Linked DNA regions of Caenorhabditis elegans. The protein of the gene in region 3 interacts with the protein of the main gene of each other region in a pairwise test. Each region holds a gene or a part of one and is shown on either strand. Other genes may lie near its edges. The genes, in order: cdr-6, T02C5.1, C34D10.1 and tag-52.

What was found.
Region 1: the proteins of C34D10.1 (region 3) and cdr-6 interact in a two-hybrid assay, tested with the Caenorhabditis elegans proteins (one large-scale study listed by BioGRID).
Region 2: the proteins of C34D10.1 (region 3) and T02C5.1 interact in a two-hybrid assay, tested with the Caenorhabditis elegans proteins (one large-scale study listed by BioGRID).
Region 4: the proteins of C34D10.1 (region 3) and tag-52 interact in a two-hybrid assay, tested with the Caenorhabditis elegans proteins (one large-scale study listed by BioGRID).

What each region holds. Positions count from the first base shown.
Region 1 is NC_003283.11:12,411,977-12,415,251, forward strand, and holds cdr-6 (CaDmium Responsive), read right to left. Parts: upstream 1,726-3,275; 5' UTR 1,723-1,725; coding exon 1,618-1,722; intron 1,564-1,617; coding exon 1,432-1,563; intron 1,387-1,431; coding exon 1,264-1,386; intron 1,211-1,263; coding exon 1,143-1,210; intron 1,049-1,142; coding exon 793-1,048; intron 747-792; coding exon 597-746; 3' UTR 511-596; downstream 1-510. Other genes in the region: cdr-7 (CaDmium Responsive), read right to left, coding at 1-58; cdr-2 (CaDmium Responsive), read right to left, coding at 2,708-2,857, 2,906-3,164, 3,209-3,275.
Region 2 is NC_003284.9:2,692,930-2,698,809, forward strand, and holds T02C5.1 (TNFR-Cys domain-containing protein), read left to right. Parts: upstream 1-1,993; 5' UTR 1,994-2,005; coding exon 2,006-2,053; intron 2,054-2,103; coding exon 2,104-2,151; intron 2,152-2,194; coding exon 2,195-2,259; intron 2,260-3,131; coding exon 3,132-3,209; intron 3,210-3,260; coding exon 3,261-3,702; intron 3,703-4,291; coding exon 4,292-4,441; intron 4,442-4,489; coding exon 4,490-4,542; intron 4,543-4,591; coding exon 4,592-4,705; intron 4,706-4,926; coding exon 4,927-5,012; intron 5,013-5,065; coding exon 5,066-5,160; 3' UTR 5,161-5,344; downstream 5,345-5,880. Other genes in the region: igcm-3 (Ig-like domain-containing protein), read right to left, coding at 5,669-5,827.
Region 3 is NC_003284.9:8,027,528-8,032,120, forward strand, and holds C34D10.1 (MSP domain-containing protein), read left to right. Parts: upstream 1-1,951; 5' UTR 1,952-1,971; coding exon 1,972-2,022; intron 2,023-2,450; coding exon 2,451-2,532; intron 2,533-2,577; coding exon 2,578-2,653; intron 2,654-2,877; coding exon 2,878-2,959; intron 2,960-3,003; coding exon 3,004-3,138; intron 3,139-3,573; coding exon 3,574-3,765; 3' UTR 3,766-4,087; downstream 4,088-4,593.
Region 4 is NC_003284.9:3,673,499-3,680,222, reverse strand, and holds tag-52 (Putative protein tag-52), read left to right. Parts: upstream 1-1,665; 5' UTR 1,666-1,668; coding exon 1,669-1,902; intron 1,903-2,234; coding exon 2,235-2,450; intron 2,451-2,500; coding exon 2,501-2,684; intron 2,685-2,728; coding exon 2,729-2,889; intron 2,890-2,932; coding exon 2,933-3,109; intron 3,110-3,162; coding exon 3,163-3,493; intron 3,494-3,539; coding exon 3,540-3,617; intron 3,618-3,660; coding exon 3,661-3,738; intron 3,739-3,804; coding exon 3,805-4,163; intron 4,164-5,792; coding exon 5,793-5,972; 3' UTR 5,973-6,182; downstream 6,183-6,724. Other genes in the region: Homeobox protein ceh-63, read left to right, coding at 6,535-6,549, 6,594-6,653, 6,700-6,724.

The DNA.
Region 1 (3,275 bases), on a different chromosome or scaffold from region 3:
CAGCATAAATAGCAGCAGCAGAAGCAAAAATCAGTTTAGAGTGGGCACAAATAGACATTTTCAACCCTTGATACATGATTTGAATGTAGACGGAGGTGTCCTTTTCCTCTTTTTTGCCCTTCTCGTTATCTTATCTCTCGATCTTTTTTACACAAGTGTTAAATTAATGTCTTTCAATAGAGATCAAGAGGTCAAAATAACCGAAGAGATCAAGAAAACATTATTTCAGATCAAAGCTATTTAGGTATATATTTTGAAACAGATTTACGAGCTTTGAGCATTTTTGAGGTTAGCTGATATAACTATTAGAATGGAATGAAGTTTTCGAATTTCAACTAAAAATAGCTTCAAAACAAAAACTATTATTTGGGTCAGTGTATATCTTTAAAGATATGCAATTCGTATATACGCCTAAGCAATTGCTGAGCAAAATAATGCCATTCTCAAATTTTTTCTGACTTTATGTGAAGCCTCTTGTTATAAGTTGATTGTTTTATCGTTATCAAAGCTTTTGAAGATACAAATACTTATTGTTATAGACACTTTTATTTGGCTAAAGAAAAGGTAAGACAAGAAAAATTAACTAAAAATTGAAGTTAGATGGTGAAATCATTGGGGTACACTTCCTTGCGAACACTTTCGCAGTACTCAAGAATTTTTGGGAAATCCTTTTCCAGCACGTCGTTGATATGCGAACGAAGTGGGTAATACACGGATGCCAATTGTCCAAATACGGTTGCATCAGTCTAGAAAATTCCCAGGTAAAAAGGATACAACTATAAATTAACAAACCGGTGTGATCTTGTCTCCGAAAAGGAATTTCCCTTTGATAGAGTCTTGAATTACTTTGAGATCTCTATGAAGAAGCTCATCAAGCTCATGTGGCTCAAAATCTCCAATTGCCCCAACACAACGACTATAAACTTTGCTTCCAAACACAGCTTTGACCAGAGGAACCAATACGGCGTTGAATGCTGATGGTAAACCGAGAAGCCCGACAATGATCTCGTAAAACATGTCAACTGAGCTCTTGTAGCGGAGAAGTACACTGTAAAAAATGATTTCGAACTTATAAATTTCAATGAGATAATGAATTTTCTTCTGTTTCTAATCATCTTCAGAATTTAAATGTAAATACCTACTAGAAAAGATGATTATCTGCCATTCTGCTCAAAGCAACTGACTGCGCTTCTTGTTCGGTTGGGAGGCTCTGAAATATATATTTTTGCAAAATTAATTTTGAAAACATCTCGAATTACTTACTGGAATCTTAAAATGTTGTCTCAGGCGAATCTCAATGAGATCAGAGTCTGCAATGTGTTCCCCATTGAGCTCGATAAAAGGTAAAGTTCCATTTCTCGATCGAGCCATTGAACTCTCCACAATCTGAAATTTAAATTCAAAATTTGTTCAGCAAAAAAAGAAATAAACCTCATAAGGAATATTGTAGACTCTGCAAAGAATCTCAATTTTCATGCAGAATGGTGAAAGATTTGGGCAGTTTTTCAGTCTTTTGAATTGGTAAAGATAAACAGTATCTTTCTTGTAGTCGGTTTTGTGAATCTAAAAATATTTGTTCGTAAATTAAAAATTTTCAAAAAAAAAAAAGAAACTAACCGCCGGCTTTGGTTTAATTGTTGGTGGCGTGAAGAATTTCTTGTAAATGAAAAAAGCGATTGCACCAACCACTAGGGTTGTTGTCACTGGACAGCAACACACCATTCTGGAAAATAATTTTTCACGTTCAAAAGTAGAAAAAAATCAATAAATATAAGAGTTGCTATTATTTTACAAATTAAGACGTTAGTTGCGTTAATTAGAACTCAAAACTGACGAAAAAAAAAGGTAAGAAGAAATGAGTATCGACTCTATTTAATACTGCCATCTTGCAATGAGGGTAGAGTCTAGCCAGTGAACGTGTGTTTTGAGAGACATTAGACGGTTAGACACAATGTATTTTGTGGAAAAGAATATTGTCATGTTTGCTATCTTTACAATGTCTAAACAACTTGGAAAATAGATTTTATAGCGGACTTTGAAAAGTTTGAGTATTCGTTGAGCCACTTTTCATTTTATATTAAATTTTAAAGGAGAAACAGAAAAAGAAGGTAAAGGTATGTGGTTTGTAGTGAAGTTTGTGCTTAGTTTGGTTTAATTATCATTAGTTGATTTTTTGGTCAACCAACATCACTTCATTTGTTTTTCAATATTCGTACAAAAAACTATTATTTTGAGGAAATATAAGTTAAAGTTTGAACATTTTAGTTTTTTATTCTGTTGGTTTGCACTTTTACCTTTGCTTTCACAACAACTAGATAGCTTTTAAGATGCTGTTTTGTGAATTTCTCCGTATTTCTTCTACAAAGTTTTTGAATTCTAAAAATTATGCTAAAACCTGAAAAAATGTTTTAAGTAGCCAAGATATGCGGGAAAACTTCGAGAATTTCCAAATTTCTTTGCATACTTTAGAAAATTGAAAATTTGGACAAAAGCGAATAGTTTGCTTTGATAATTCCATAAGAAACATTTAAATTGTTGAAGATAATCTTTGATTTTTCAATCTTTGCCATCCACACTTGTTTGAGTAAACAATAGTGGAAATGATGACAAGGTTTCTTATCAATTTCAAAAATGGAAGAAGAAAATATATCACTTTTGGAGTTGCCTCCTCATTTGAAAATGAACATTTATTTTCATAAAACAAAAATTAAATTGTAAAATCATTTGGATATATTTCCTGACGAACTCGTTCACAATATTCCAGAATTTTTGGGAAATCATTTTCAAGGGCATCGTTGATACTGCACCGGAATGGATAAATCACCGACGCAATTTGACCAAATACAGCTGCATCTGCCTGAAATTTTATGAGATAAAAAATTGGGTTCTAATTGATTTCACAAACCGCTGTAACTTTATCTCCGAACAAAAACTTTTGATCTCCCAAATAATCTTGAATTGTTTGGAAATCTCTATGAAGAATATCATCCATTTCTTTTAATTCAAAATCTCCAATTGATCCTGTCGATCTCTGATAGACTTTCTTTCCAAATGAGGCTCGAATAAGTGGAAAGAGAAGTGGCTGAAGGAATTTTGGAATACCAATGCTTCTGACAAGAATATGGAAAAATTCATCTCCTATTATTTTGTAACGGATAAGCAAACTGTAACAAAAACCATTAAAAATCAGAGTATTTGAATAACTCACTTGAACAAATGATTATCTGCAAGTCTTGTCAAGGCTACAGAATGTGCTTCTTGAGCAGCTGGTAGAG
Region 2 (5,880 bases), 5.3 Mb from region 3:
GAGGCAAAAAATGTAACTTTCTTTGGAAAAATATGCATATCCTACAAAGTATAAACATGCCAAAATTCGCAATATTTCGTATACTTCCTAACTTACATACTTGCTCCATAACATATTCTTTGAGCCCAACTCTCTCAATGTTGTTCAATTTAATGTTTGATGGAAACATGTTCCATAATGCACTGATAAGACAACAACTACCGTGTTGTCAAAAACAAACTGTTTTAGGTTTAATCGGAAAACGATTGAGACCGTCGTCTTGATGGAATATTATGAAATCACTGTCAACAGAACAAGTGACCAAAAAATGTTGTAAAAAGCACAGATGGACATGAGAACGCACAGTTTTTATTCAGACACCGCCTTACAGATGCGAGAGCAACCAGAGCAGTTGATGGGCACACAGGCACGACGATTAGTGGGCAGCCGCCCGTACTCTCTGTCTTTTGACTGCATCTGGGCAGTTGTCTAGATATCGATACAATTTTGACCCAACAACACAGTAAAATTTTGGTCAATATTTGCTTTTTATCATAACTTCCCTCCTGTCATTTTTGATTGTTTTGTGAGTGAGAGTATGCAAATGGTGAGATGCAACTTTTGCCAATGGACTAGTCACAAGACTAAATAAAATAGAAAACTAGTCGCAATAAATTATTAGAGTGAGAAATAAGTTTTGTGGTATGTTTTTTTTGTGTCTCAAATAATATAAATTTTTCAAACGTTTGTACCTAACTTTTTTAAAATTCAATTTTCAATATAAATTGAATATGTTTGAATTCAAAAATATATAAGTCCTTGATTTATTCTGGTAAAGTTTACTAGATTCACTCCGTGCATTTTTATTCTTCAAATATTTGATTAGGCTGGATCAAGGATTTTGATTGTCAAACACTGAACCAGCTTTTGGATACAATTTTGCAGTATTGATCAATATTATCATTTCTCTTATGAAATATTTGTTTTCCAGCATACGAAAATGTGTGATATTTTTATTAGTCATGGTATATATTCATGTGACTGCAGTTAAAATGATACAAATGTTCTAAAAGCCGGAAATATTCTGTACTTTTGATAGCTCGTAAATCTCGTTTCAACGCTCATTTGTGAAAAATGCGACCTACAGTACTTTTGGTAGCGGCGTGTAAACTTAATAAATTTTAACATTCACGATTGTGCACTCTCTCAACTCTCATAGAAGTAATTGGAGATTCTGATTTTTTTTCCAAAGTGCAACGTACCACAGTTCTTCTCCAAAACTTTTCCTATTTCTCAACTTGTATATTTTTTCGCAATCGAACTTACTCACAGATTTTCAATACTTCATCTACAATATTTTTGTTAATAAATTCTGAAAATCGGAACATACTGCATTGCTCTGGATTTCCTTTAAAGCTCACGGTTTGAAAATTTTGGAATTCGCCAAACGTTTGACTCAAACTTTCCAAAATTGTTTGGAGTGTTTTATTTGGTCATTTTATTATTATTATTGGTGTATTTAAACAAAATTCCTACATGCAAATTTCGAAAAAATATTTTTGTTAGTTTCAATTATAAATGTTGTATATTTATCATAATTAGGAGACAAGAGCAAGATCACTTTCCAAGTGATAAAATTTTTTTTTTGAATTTTCAAGAAAATTTTCATCAACTATGTTTTCGAATTTGTTTTAATGGAGAATGTCATCTTTTTAAATAGTTAATAATTTTTTTCACAAAACAAATCCGCGTGTTTTTGGAAACTTGAGCAGAAACTTTTTCTATTTGTGCTTCAATGGTTATTTGTCTTCACTTTTAATAAACTATCAATTGCCATGTTTTCATATTTTTAATTTTCCACCTCATAACTCACCTCCCTCGCAACTCAGAAAATTAACATTGGCTTCCAAAGTTCACCACCTTTTTTTCTCTAACCACACCATACAAATAGAACTGTTATCAATCTGAAATTATTTAAAAAGACGTCGCTGAGATAAGAGCGTCAGTCCTTTACACGCGGCACGCAATGAGAGGAGCACTGCAGTTACTACTTTTTGTTGGTACAGTCACTCTGGTGAGACCTATTGTACACTTTGAAAATATTCTAGTTAAATTTTTATTCAGGTGGCCAGCAAGCTACATGAGTCCCCTTACGTTACCGAATGCTTTGATGTATGTTTAAATTGTTTTTTTGTAAGTTCTCAATTTGTTTTAGGGGCACTACAACTTCAGAGGCGTCTGCTTCCAATGCACTCCATGTGGTGACTTCATGTACGAGCTGTAAGTAATTTTTTGTTGATATTTTTTATGCCAAATTCATTCAAAAATTACGGGACACTGTCTCATCGTGGAATCTGTAATAAAAAGTCTGTAAACTGCCAGATTTAGCGGTTAGATCTTTAGATACTTGAAAAACCAATTCCTTATGAAATTGTAAAACATAAAACAATCTGACAGCCCGTGTATTCAAACGGTCTTGTCATTTAGCATTGATGTCAGAATACTGATAACTGTGAAGAGCATGTCATGCACACCTCGGTGTCATATGGTGTCGTGAAAACTTAGTGCTATTGAGTAACAAGGTGATTGATAAGAATAAACAGTACTTCAGTTTGAAAACAGAAATTTGATAGCAATCAATTTTCCGGGCATTTGTTTATTCAAACTTGTGACTAGCAAAACATTGAACATAGTGAGTTCAACTCACCATGGGTTTTCAAATTAACTCGGCATTTGGAGCATGGGTGTGCGGCAAATATGCCAAATTTGCCCAGCACAGCAAAACTCGAAAATGCAGATTTGCCGAATTTGCCGAGATTGGCAAATTTTGAAATTTACACATCAGTAGGAATGTTTTTCAGAAAATGGGTTTTTAAAAAATTTATTTAGGTACCTTAACTTCAAAATACCCGTTTATAAGGTTCAATTAATTTTCTAATATGAAAGTTTATGAGTTTCAAAATCTGCATGCAACCGTTGTAGAACATTATCATGCAAAAATTTAGTCAGGGGTCAAGCTTGATAAACAATATTTATTTTCAGTTTCTTATGACGTCATATATATATATATTAAACATATTTTATTATCTCGTACGGAAAACTCGCATTTCGTCGAAAATTTCCCTTTTGTGAAAAACTATTAAAGTTTTTAGAGCAAAATGCACGGATACTTCAAACACAGTTTGTGGATGGTGTGGAAACAAACCAAACTTGGACAAAATTTCTGATGAGTATGTCATAAAATGAGGCTGATTCTATTACAAAGTTAGCCCATGTTTCAGAGTGCTTGTCTCTTACCAAACCAAGTGTCTTATGTCTAGCCTAGATTTCATCGGGATGACCAAACTGAAAGACGAGCTTGTCAATGTTTTTGATGATGAAAAGGATAGTGAGGAGGTAGAAGAGTTACCAATTAAAGATAATTTCATCAAAGGTGAAAATCTTGAGATGATTGATTCAAATGAGATCAACTACGATATGGCGAGAAACAGTTTAGAAGATGTGTACGATAGTCAAGAGCACCAGCTACCAGACCCGACTTATGAAGAAGGAGATGATTCAAGTTCTTCGGAAGAAATTGGCGAAGAGGAGAAGACTGATGAAAATGAGATTGGAAGCGAAATTGTTTCGGAAAAAGTCAAAGCTTACATGATTGAAAAAAGTGAAAAAGTTCCGTCTTCTGTTAAAATTGCGAAAGGAAAAACTACAATTGTTTCTCATGAGGTAGGTGGAAAACAACAAAACAATAAAGTTAGCATATTTAAATTGTGCTATGCACTGCGGATCTGGAAGTCAGGAACACTGCCTGGTAGTGCTCTCACTGGGATATAAGGGTGAGGCCGGACTTGAACTCGTGGCCTCCAGATTGCTAGCGACCACCACTACCAACTGAGCTATCCCGCTTCTGAAATATGTCGGAGCAAATCATTGAAATAAGAAATTGAAAAGTTTTGTATACTCAAAAAAATTTTGAAGACTTTTTGACGACCCAATTTTCTTGAACTAACTTTTTTCTTTTTGTTTTTGTTGATTTTCTAAGTGTTTAATTTAAGCAAAATTCGCACACAATTGAGAAGATGCCAGAAAAAGTGGCTCCGAGTTAAAACCGTTGGGGTGGTTAAACATTTTTGAAACTGCCGTCATAAATTCCCTCACTTTTAGTATCATCTATAATCTACAAAAAAATTATTGTGTGAAGCTAACTTTTTGATGTAAACTTGGGATATCTCGCTCTTATGTTTTGAAATTGACCATGAAAATTGAGTGCCCAATTTTTAAATTTTCAGAACTAAATTCATCATTTTAATTTCAGGAAGCCGAGGCCACATTCCGAGAGATTGAAGCCCTACCAAACCCTGTGCGCAAAATCAACCAAGACGATTATGACTCCTCTGAAGAGTCAAACGAGCGTGAAATCAAGTGGGACAATTGGGTTGATGATCAAGTGAAACCAATCAGAACGGTATGTCTGCAAATCTACCCGGATTTCTGAAATTTTTTTGAAATACAGAACGTCGAAGTTGTCGAAGCCGAGGAGATTGAGGAATTTGACCAGCTCATCGCGTAAGTCAATGTTTCAATGATTTTTATTTGAGAAATTTCCATTTTTCAGAAAGTCGCTCAAAAATAGAAGAAAGATCTTGAATGATGAGACAGAAAGCTCACCACTATTCATTAAAAACTTGGGTTCAGTCTTTGTCATCTGTATGGGAATGATCATTGTTGTGTAAGTAAGCTAGATCACGTGGATTCAGAATGTCATATTTCGATTTGATCTTCAAAAAATGCGGGAGTTGAGACGCAGACATCTCATCTGATTTCGCATGGTGCTAACGTCTCAATTTTTCTGGAAAAAAACTTCCCGCCTTTTTTTGTAGATCAAACTATAAATCAACACGTCTCAGATTCTAACTTTTGAACTGTAAAATCTATGGTTTGTTTTTCCAGCACTATTCTCTCTATCACATATGCTTTGATGCGTGCGGAAAGAAAGGAATTCTTGGGCGTCCCCACCGACTCGCAGGACTATCATAGTAGGGATTTCAAAAGAGTTACAAAAAAATCTAATGTACAAAGTTTATTCCAGTGATCATTGATTCCAGCAATTATATCGAGAAGCTTGAAAGCAAGGAAAAACAGGCCAGCCGTCACGTTCATGTCAACCCAGTTTTCGATGTTTGATTAATTTTATCTTCTCCGTGAGAATTATGAGAATTATCTGTTTGTATATTTAATCTTCTTTATTTTTTTATTTTTGTATTTTTTAAATGTGCATCCGCATTTTCCATTTCATTTCTTTTTACGTTCTGAAATAGTAAATTTAAAATTTATGGGAAGAATGTATCTTTGATAAAACCTTTATTCCATTTCAAAAAAAAATGTCGGGGTAAAACACCAAAAAGGGAAATGGGTGATAACACCGCCTGAGGCCACGAAATTTAAGTGGAGGGAAATGAGAGGTGATAGAGATAGCATATAATACCCGAAGTTGCATGAATGGCTGACAATGCTCGAAGAAAAAATCAAACAAGGGATGGTTCTAGAAGGGAAAGTGAAAAATGAAAAAGAAAGAAAAAACGCAGAAAGGTACATTTGTAATTAAAATTTCAAATATGGCCATTAAAACTTTTTCAATACGGTTTTTAAAAAACAGGTAACACGGAGGATAGTGGATGTACACATAGATTAGCTAGACGACAGACTGAACAGAAGCAGTGCCCCTATGCGGTCTACTATTAACAGAGCTGATTGATACGGTACTTGATGGCTGTGCTGCGAAGCCTCTTTTGAGTTCGAGCTCTGCATAGTTCACACCCTCGTGGAATGCAGCGACCGTTGTCCGTTTCTTCTGAAGTGATGATGAGAAAAAAAACAAAGAAATGAATGAAAGAAGTGAACCCA
Region 3 (4,593 bases):
GAAAAGTTTTCAAGAAGTTTCATTATGAAATTCGGTGTTTTCAGACAATTCTGAGTCTCATAAAGCAATAAAACAATTCGACTACACCACCTTTAAGACACGCCTATGGAGTCACAATGACCGAATATCATGATAAAACATTCAAAAAAATTTCCCTGATTCTATATGATTTTTTGAAAATGGGGAAAATCTCAGTTTTCCCCCCATGCCTATTTAAATTTCCGCCATTTATTCGTTCGATGAAGCGCGCTTGCATTTTTTTCTTATTATTCCACTGATTTTCTTAATTTTTGATCGTTTGTAGTCGGAAAATGAAAGAAATTAACAAAGTAAATGGAAATTGTTAATTAAAAAGTAACTGATAATTCCTAAACCTGTGAAATTATCTGCTCAGAGGACGACAAGCCTGCAATTAGTATTTTAACAGTTTTACACCCTATCAATGACTATTTAACAAACATTTGGCATTTATTTTGTTAATTTCTTCCATTTTCCTAATAAAAACGCCAAAAAATTAAGACAATCAGTGAAATAATGAAAAATAAAATGAAATAAAAAATAAGAATAATGCAAGCGCGCTCCATCGAACGAATAAATTAACGGAAACTTAAATAGGAATTAGGGGAAAACTGAGATTTTTCCAATTTTCAAAAAATCATATAAAATCAGGGACATTTTTTTGAATTTTTTTAATCATGATATTCGGTGACCCCAAATGCGTGTTTTAAAGCAATTTCCCCACAAAGTGTAGTCCACCTTTAAGAAAAACGTGAAAATGATTTGTATTTTTAAGCGTAGAAAGACTCTAATCCTTAGCCTAATAGAGACAAACCTATTAATTTTAATTTTAATGATTTACAGTAATTTATTTCACAGCTCAGAAAAAATGAATTTGCCCAAAAAATTCACCTTTGTCTGTTTCCTTTAGTTTATTACCAATTGAATTAAATGTATTCCCTTTCTTATTTTCTGAGTTGTTTGGGCTGATTGAACTTATTCAAAACTGAATTTCCACTGGTAATTTTTTTTTCCAAACTGTTGATAATTTCACTTTTGTTCAAATTATTATTTTGCAAGATGTTTATTCCTAATCGGTTAATGTCTTGCTATGAAAAATGCTGATTGATAGTTTTGAAAATACTCCGATAAGCATTTTTTCATGAAAGTTCATGACAATGAGAATTAACTTATTTTTCAACTGACAGTTGGATCCTTGTAAAATTTTTCAAATTTTTTTTATTGTTCCGGTGATTTTTTATAAGTTTGCCATTGTTAAAGTTCACATACATTTTTGCTTGTATTGATTCTATTTTTTGTTTTTACATAAATCAATTGTTGTCGGGGATTACTAGACAACATCATTGCAAGACACCACCTTCTATTCTCACTTCACGATGGGAATTGGCTCACTTCTCATTGTCTCTTTCTCCTTTGCTCTCCTTTTTTTTAGCATTTGTTTCCATTTGCAGTGCATTGAAAACGCTGTTCAATTTATAAAGACGTGTTACGATGCTATTATAATTAGGATATGGATTATAAACTTTGTTTAGTTTTGTTAATAAATTTTAAGCTCTTTAGAAAAATGAGACAATATTAAGTTCAAATAATGCTTTGTTTTTTAGAACGTTAACTGTTAATTGAACATAAAACCATTGTTTTGTTACCAAAAAGTCAACGTTTTCTTTTCCGAATCCCAAAACGCGCCAGCAATTGTTTGACCCGCTTCCCGTTGAAGAGTGTTTACACTGGCTAGACGGGTCGATATGGAGGCCGCGGACGCTACTCATTTTCTCCCGTGATCACGTTGCCTTCTTTTCTCCTCTATCGCGTCATCTGCTAATAGAAACTGGTCGGACTCTTGCGCAGCAACCTTGGTCTATGATTATTCCCCTTAGCCTTACAGTTTTTTTTTTCAAATATAACTTTAAAAATTTAAAATTTTGTTTTACAGATTTTATCTCAACAAAACATATGTCAGGAGCAGATGAGGACGCATTGCCCGTTTTTGTCAACACAACAGAAGTGAGTTTTTCAAAAAATATAAAACGCTAATACTTATTAAATTTATAAGATTGTCAAAAAAACAAATTTTCTATTTTTCCAATATATCTTTATTAGTCTTGTATGCAAGACTAATTGCAATGTTTGCGGTTCTCGAGCTACACTATTAAAAATCAATAATCTAAAAAGGATATGGCTGCTTATTTTATTTTTTGATTTATACAATTCTTCTGGAAATAATTGAACTCGCTTTTTTTTAATTTAAAAAGCAATGTAGAGAATTTTGAAAAAAAAACTACAAAAAAGAAAATTAATAGAGTCGAAATGAAACACCTTTTAAAATAATGAACGACTATATAATTAAGGATTTTTTAAATTTTTTGTGGTTTTCAAACAATTTAATGATAATAAAAACAACCAAATCTCGTTTTAAAAGCATTTTATTGCAGTTACAATTCCGGCTCAACGAGAAATCACAGGCAAAGCTGTTCACATTGTACAACCCATTTGGTCATGTGATAACTTATAAAAGTAAGGAAAAATCTTTTCATCCGCTCGAAAATTTGACTTTTTCAGTTTTGTGCACTGCCACTAGGAACTATACTGTAAATGAAACTACCGGTGTCCTCCAAGCAAAATGTTGTCAAGATATGTAAGTTTGCAAAACTTTTGTGAATGTATATACCGTATATTCTCTATTAGTGCTGCAACTTCCAGTAGTACTGCAGTCTCTAATAGTTCTGCGATCAAAGAGGTCCTAGAAATTAGTGTTGCATGCAGCACTAATAGAGAATATACGGTATAGTAATCAAAATTGTGAAACAGTATTTAAGAAAATAAATTCCAGCATTGATTTTTATCCCACAAAATTTTCAGAGTTGTCCGATGTATCCAGCGTCTCCCAGTTGGCAACGTCGACAAGTTGAAAATTGAGATTAGCAAAAAAGGATCGCCGACGGTAAATCTCAAAATTTAATTTCAAATTAAACAAAAACTATTCAGGCGAGTGGATCCTGCGTTCTCACGTTACTCACCGTGTCCTCCGAGCACACAAATCCCGATGAACCCCGTTTTGAAAAAGTCCAGCAATCAAACAGAATGAGCAGTTCTACAACAAGCGAAAGAGGAAACGATAGGGTAAGGTTTTCATTTGAAAAATAAATTTTATTATAGAAAAATAGCACGTGAATGTAATGTAATGTAAAATTGAAACAACTAGTAGCTAGAAAATTTCATTTTAAATATATCAGTCTGTATTTTCAATATTGGTTTACGTGACGTTTACAAGAAAATATAAAGGACAAAATATCTTTCAACTTTATGAATGCAAAATTTATGAAAATTGAAACAGCAATAAGCTGTTCCTCAAAGTAGGAGAAAAGGAACCGTTTGCAAACCCGGACGCGGTTTTCTGGTAGCTCATTTTCGAATAATTTTTTTCGTTGTTATCTGTTACGACCTTATATTCTGTTACGACCTTATATTCACTAAGCGATCATCCGGGCGCCACAACCATTTCCAAATTAAATGTTTCAAAGATTAAATAAAATCCTCAACACTCAACATTTTCAGAACCAATCAAGCATGTGGGCTTGTCTCATCGTTGGCCTGTGTTGTGCTGTCGCACTCGTCTGTCCAACCGCCGGTGATATTGAATCAAAATCTTCATCCGTTCCCCCAATGCTCCACATGTCCTTTCAACAGAAGCTAGTCGCTTCTTATATTCTCGGCATTGTCTCTGTATTAATTCTCCGTCCCATGTAAAGCTATCTAATGTCATTCAATCACTGGTCTAACTTCCTTCCCGAATCGAGTCACTTGTTCTCCTGTCTTCAAAAAATGTGTTCTTCTCTCATCTACTGGCATTATTTGTGCCTGTTTCTTTTTCAATACATGGTAGTCATTTTGTGGCTATTACTGTAAATTGTTTGCAAATCAAGCAATCATTCTTATTGTACATTCTTGTAGGAACAATCATGAAATACGCACTTTTTGATAATATCTGTATGTATATGACTTCTCTACCTCTTTTTGTTTTTAAATTATCGGTAATTGCAATTGAGACAAAGCAATCGAAAATTATGGTAGATATTGTTTTGTATTACACTTACCAAACACAAAAATATTGGGAATTGAAAATGCCAAGCAGGTAGTTTTTACGAGGTTATTCATTTTCGTCGAATAGTTTTTTTTTTCCATTTTTTTGATAATTCCATTTTTGCCAATTCATATTCTAAAAAGACCGCATCAAAATGTATACAGCTGACTGAAAAGTGACAAAAAAATCTACTTTGAAACGCATTGAAACTAAATACTAAACATGAATTTGTCGCCGTGTAAATGATATAAATACAAATTACTTGAAGAATCTATCGCGCATGCAATGAAAATTGTATTCTTCTTATTATTTTTAAAACATTTTTGCGCAAGACAAAACAGTAAATAAAAATATAGTATCGTTAAATTTTTTACTAAATTTTTAATACTTTTTTGAGAACAAAATCTACACAAAAAAAAATCAAAAATCAAATTCAATTAAAGTATTTTTCTTCCCATTTTTTAATTTCATAATTTGTGACACAGTTTTCTGAA
Region 4 (6,724 bases), 4.4 Mb from region 3:
TGAATGTTCTTTTAAAATGCGGGGTAGAAAATGAAAAGTACCCTAAACTTAAATATTCAATTAATTTCGAAAGCCCTCGTGGACTATGAGACTATCATTTTGGAAATAAATTAAATTTCCATTCATTTGTCAAATTCGGTCTATTTCAATTGATCGTGTTTTGCTTTTTTTTTTTCCTTTTTTAAGGCTTAGAAATGGTTGTTTCCGCCTCATGCAAAATCACTTTACTTTTTCCATAATTTGCATTTTAAATATGTTCCAATAATACCCAAGACTAAAACTTTTGAAAATGTGTTTCCTGCTTTAATACAAACATATTTCTACAAAAAATCTGAGCTGGAAGTTTTTTGAGGTTTATGAGTCGCCTTTCCAAAATTCAAAGATTTATTTACAAATCTTCATACTGGTTTAATTACATTCTCGATGTTCGACTAAAACTTCTGTACAATTTTTTTTACTAAGATTATGTTTCAAAAATTTATGTTCCAAAAATGCACCAATGCTCTAATCCTTGACAAAAACTGAATTTCTGGAACCTCAATGATTCCCTAAAACGGTGACTAAAAATCTATAAAAAACCACAATATTATGAAGACTTTTCTTAAATTATCTGGTTTTTTTGCCTATTTTGATCACGTGTAATCTAAATAGTATTTTAAAAATTTCTGAGAACTATCTATTTTTCAGTAATAGATTTTACATATTGATATTTGGCATCAGCTGTTGTTGGTGTTTTTCTCTGAAAATCACTTTATTTCTCATGTGGTTTGATGTAATTACATTTTATTCCACAACAAAATATGGAAAATCTCATGTCAGTATATTTCTTTCAATTTACATGCTGTTTAGAGAGGGCTTTTAGACAGCTTTGACAAGCTTAAGGACGAAACGGAGAAATATATTTTATTATTTTATATTTATTTAGTAGTTTCATTTAATGGCTTCTTATTTTTTATTTTATAAACGACGGGAAAACGCGCAATTTTATTTGTTGTACAATGGTCTTTGTTCACACTAGTTTCTACGTTTTGTACAGTCCTCTTGTTTGAAACGCCAGCATCTGATAATATTCCATTTTCCACTCCACTCATGTGATTGTCGGGAAATTCGAGACCATGTGCTCTTCCTATCATATCAAATCATCTGACTCCAGTTTTTAAAGACTCCAAATTTTCACTACTGATTTATCATTTCCTGTTGATCTAGATACTGCCCAACAAACGCATCTCTTCCTTCTACTCTGCTACTCCCAGATGACGTAGCATCTACCAACAACATACAGCACGGCATTTGATCATTTGTCTTGCGCAAAAACGTCCTTGTCCTCCGTGTTCTCACATAGTGCCCCCCCCCCCCCCACCCCTTCTTCACTCTTCTCATTTTTCCTTGCATCATGTGGACATGCATGGCCAACCCCCACTATAGCGATGAGTGTGCAAACGCGCTCCTCTGATGCCACCGCGAATTTGAATGCGATGGTGTTGTGGCGGTCGTTTGGGAGAACACCTGCCGGCCGTTCTACTCAATCTATTGATTTTTATCCCTCTTTATCCCGTGTTCTGTTTGCAGAGTCTTGTTTACCGGGTAGTTCTCTTCATTATCAATGTCTTTTTTTTTCGATTTAAAATCAAATGTTTCCTTTCATCTAACTCTGTTGTTTTTCAGACTATGAACGCGGGCAAAGAATTCAACTACTACACGTACCAAAGTGACTCGTCGCAAGGCAGTTTGCAAAAGGCTCCCGATGAAAATACTGATTATTTCACACATAAGATGAACAGCTATTTGCCATTTGACATGAGTACACTGTATGCTAATCAGCCGACAGAGAAAATCCAGATTTTACAAGAAATTTATGATACCGAGAGAACCTATGTGAAAGCGCTCACTATCGTCGATGAGGTCAGGATTTAATTATATAAACCAGAATGCCGGTTGCCTAAAAATTGCCGAAATTTGTAACATTCGGTTTGGCAGCCGACAGTAGCCGGTTACCAAAAATTTTGGCGTTTCGCTGCTATTGCCGGTTGCTTTTGGAATCATGCGTTTGCGCTTTTTGATATTCTCATGAAATGATGCTCGAACACTTGCAACCGAGGTACCTGAAAAATCTATGACAAAAATTTGTCAGGTACGACTTACCGAGAACCGTGATTTATAAAACGCATCTATTAAATTGATAGCCATAAGTATCTCAAAAACTTCTAAAAGCTTCTTAAAATCTTTTTTTCCAGATATTCATTCAACAACTTAACTTGTGGTGCCCCAAATCAAAAAAATGCTTCCGATCCATGTTCGGCGAGATATCAGCAATCTGCAAGACTCATCAAATCCTTCTGGAATCCCTTCAGTGCAAGCCGATCGCCGAGGTCTTTACCAAATTTGTACCGTTCCTCAAACTCTATACCAGTTATGCATCCCATTATCCAAATTCGCTGAAAATTTTTGCGGTTAGTTATAACAATAAAATCTATGATACCTTATTATTTTTACTTTCCAGAAACTGATGTCTCGCAACGACTTCCGCAAAGCTCTGACCAAAATTGAGGAAGACCCCAGAGTTGATGGAAAGAAACTCCAGACATACCTCATCATGCCAATTCAACGCATTCCACGCTATATCATGCTCATTCAAAATTTGATGAATTACAGCACTGAGAAAGATGATATGACAAACCTTTACAGTAAGAATTTATTGGAACGATTTTCTTATAGCTACTTTTTTCAGAAGCGTTGTCGGGTATGCAAGGGCTCTCCGATCAGATTCAATCCTGCATGACAGCTTATGAAAATGGAGAACGACTCCTTCAAATCCAACTGAATTTTGGTCTGGATGGGCACATTCTTGAGCCAGGACGCGTATTGTTGAAGGAAGGAATGTTGTACAAGGTAATATACATTTTAGTATCAATCCTAATTTGGTTAATTTCAGAGAGAGCTCAATGGATCAGCCAACTACCAGGAAACCGTGGTCTTCCTGTTCAATGATATTCTTCTTTACGGAATCAAGAGAATCAGTGTGATGCCACTCTGCAAATACGAGCCGTCTGCAATTCTCTCACTCCGTCACTGCATTGTCCAACTTGATGATATAGGAGGGAGCATATTTGTATGTGGTTATATTATTATTAAAGACTCGAAAATGGTAACTTCAAATTTCAGATTCGTTGTGGAGACGTCGGTGTGGACTTTACAGCCTACTCACTCGGAGGTGTTACGGAGTGGTACAATGAGATTTGCGATGCTATTGACAACGCAAAGAAGCTTCGTGATACGCTGCGGAAAGAGAGTTTCAAGCAAAAGTCGCTCATCTTTGACAAAGGATTCTGGCAGAGAAATCGAGACAAGCTCCGTAATATGATAACTGCCGATATGACGGGCAACATCAGTCGTGTGTTGACAAGAAAGAAGCCAGCTCCGAAGCTCGAGGAAAGTGATTTTCTTCGTGGACAGTGGACAACTTCCACGATTGCTTCGAATCAACGGAAGCGAAGTACGTTTATGAATATGTTACCCGGTAATTGTTAATTTGTTTTCAGAAGTTGCTACTTTGGAGGATGAAGAAGAAGACGTATTCAACATGCTATCTTCTCCCAATCTATCTCAGCGGAAGCGGAGTATGTTAGAAATATTGAGATTTTGATTAATTTGGATTTTTAGAAGCCACTCTGCAAGAGAACACTCCATCAGGCGTTGGTTGGACAGCCTCCCCAAGAAGTTCGTCTTTTCGAAAACGTAGTGAGTTTTTCAAGGCTTAGTTTTTCAAGTTTTTCGAGGCTTTCAAAGCAATGCGTGAATTTTCAGGAGCGTCTACTCTGAGAAATAAAAATGCAGATGTAACTGACGGCAACAACTACCTCAGCCATCTTGTTCTCAATGATGTCACCATGACACAACCGTACACTGGTCTTAATGCTTTTGTGGGAACTCCAAAGTCGAGAACACCAACTGATGACGATTACGACAGTGATCGGGACTATGTTTGGACTGATGACGAGGAGTTTGTTTCGGACGACAAGAAGATTCCAATCAGACGTGTGGCTAGTTATGATGAAGAGGATCGCCGCCCACGCGATTTCAGCGAGGTTCGTCGCTCTGTGGCTTCGGAACCACCACGTCGCCATCTTGCAGTGGACGACATTCGCAAGTTGAGCTACCAACAGGTTGGTGATTGAAGAGTTAACTAGGGAAGAGACTGAAGGTGCCACCTGATTTTCTGTTGTATATAAATTTCAGACTTCGAAATTTTAGAATTGAGTTTGCGGTGAGCTTGCAAATATGCTCGGAATAAGCGGTGCATTGTGGGTGCTCCGAGGACATGTGTGGTGGTGGTATTTGCCAATTCATATAACTTTCATGACTTTAAAAAAAGTTTGGAAGATGTCTGAATTTTATCAAAATCTGGAATTTTGATCACCAGAAGCATGCAATTTTCAGAAACTCGAAACATATTTTTTAAATTACGAGGGTGATTTTTCCAATAAAAAAATCTGCATGTTACCAATGGTAACTTACCATCATGAACATCCCCAGAGCTCCGATGTTGCTGCTCTTACTCGGCAATTCCCGGCAGCTTCTTCCCCAAGTTTGGGGCTTTCCAGCTTCTTACCCAACTCTTGCCAACTTCTAACCCAGAGTATGCCCAAGTCTTACCCAACTTCAACAATTCTAGTGTAAACTCCCTCGCCCGAGTTTTGCCCAAGTCTTAGCCAAGTCTTGCCAACTTTTTACCCAAGTTTGCAGATGTAAAGAACAAACAAGATTCCGAAATCCTGCATGCGCAATGTTTAGCGTAAATCGACACTTTGTCTTTTGAGTAATTTGTATTTAAAATAGAGGAATTTCGATGTAATTGAAAGAATTCACAGGAAAACTTGTCCCTTCAAAGTCAAATTCTAAATATTTTGCTCTGATGGCTAACATTGTTAAAAAATGTACGAACAAAGTTTGCCTTTTATTTCCTGTGACTGTCTAATAAACCGAATAATTTATCTAAAAATAAAAAGAAAAGTTATCTTCAGGATGATTCTTCTCCTAGTCAGTCCAATAGTCAAATAATAGTCAGTCAATCCAATGCATCAACTTTTGAATTTTTCTAAGACTAAAATGTTCCTTTGAAATGTAAACTTTTATAAAATTGAAAGACATGAAACAAACATGAATTACAGTAATTTTGTAAATTCTGTACTTAGAATCATTAGGGAGCACACTTGAAAACAAATGAAATAAGGTATGTGGGAATACCGTATTAATCCGATGTGTCTGATACTTCCTCAAAAATATCTATCAGAATATGAGTACGATATATTATTAGTGTGCATCTTTTCGCGCGACCATCATGGCTCAGCAGGTAAGACTTCGGAACAACAGGAAATGCGATCAAAGTTCAACACACACGTATAAATTGGGTAAGAAATAGGCAAAACTTGGGTAAGACTTGGGCGACGCCTCGAGACGACGAGGCAGTCCACGACTTTTTTTATTTATGAGGCGCCCAACTCTTGCCCAAGGTTTACCCAAGCCTTGGCAACTCCTTATAAATGTTTTTATTTTTTGGGCAAGGCTTGGGTAAGAAGTTGCGAAGCCTTGGGTAGGAAACTGGCGGCAAACGCCGAGTACTCATCGCAAACTCAATTATAAAATTCCCTGCTTAAAATCCATATTTAACAATTTCTAATTATGGTATTTCAAATAAAACATGTCTAGTTCAAAAGCCCGGTGGAACCTTTACATTAGACCCTTTCTCAATAAATTAGAAAAACTAATACAAGCTAACAAAAAATGATTTTCAGCGTTCTCTGGAGCCATTCAACATGGTCACTGAGGACGATGATGAGGACGACATCATTGATATCAAAGTCAAAGGAGAGCGTCCACGTCCGTGGTGGGAGACCGAATCAGCACCACCGGCTATTAAAAATCAAAAGTCTTCAATAATTGATTCAATCAGAAATAGTTGCGCAATTATGTAATTTTTCCTCTTTTTTTTAAATTTTCAGCTATTTTGGTCCATCTATTTGTATGTTTTCATCTCATGATCGTTGATCTCTGCATTGTGTCGTTCCTATTTTTTCTACACATTTTCTCCCCATTTTTCCCTTAAAAATTTATGTTTTCGTGAAATATCTCTCCCCAGAAACTGTTCAGACTGTTCACTATGTTATCAATAAACAGCTATTGATACTTCTTTTGAAACATGTTTTCAGGTACCTACCAACAATTTTTGATGAAATGAGTCATGAATCACAAGAAGCATTTTGTTCTGCAAATTGATAGGCTGGAAAAGAGAACAGAAGCCTACAATGAACAAATAGATATAATTGTTTGACGCTGGAATCTTTATTACCGGGTAGGGTAGGATCTGCTACAATTCTACAATTAACGACGTGTTTTCCAACGACGCTCCATGCTAATTGCACAGCTCTTTTCCATGTAATGTCCCATCCTGAAAAGTCATAAAGTCGTTTCCTTCAAATTAAACATCCAATTGCTCTGAGCTTTCATTGCCCCTGTTTTGCTCATTGTGTTGTTAGCATGACGTCTAAAACGGTAAGTTTGAAATAATATTATTTTTTTAACCTTCCCTTTGTCAGAATATGACGTCAAACAAATTTGCATATGACTTCTTTCCATGGTCAAATGACACCAATTCGGTAAGTATTTGATAATTTTTAAAAAGTAATCAATTTTCCAATTTAGTCCCAACAAATTAAGAACATCAAAC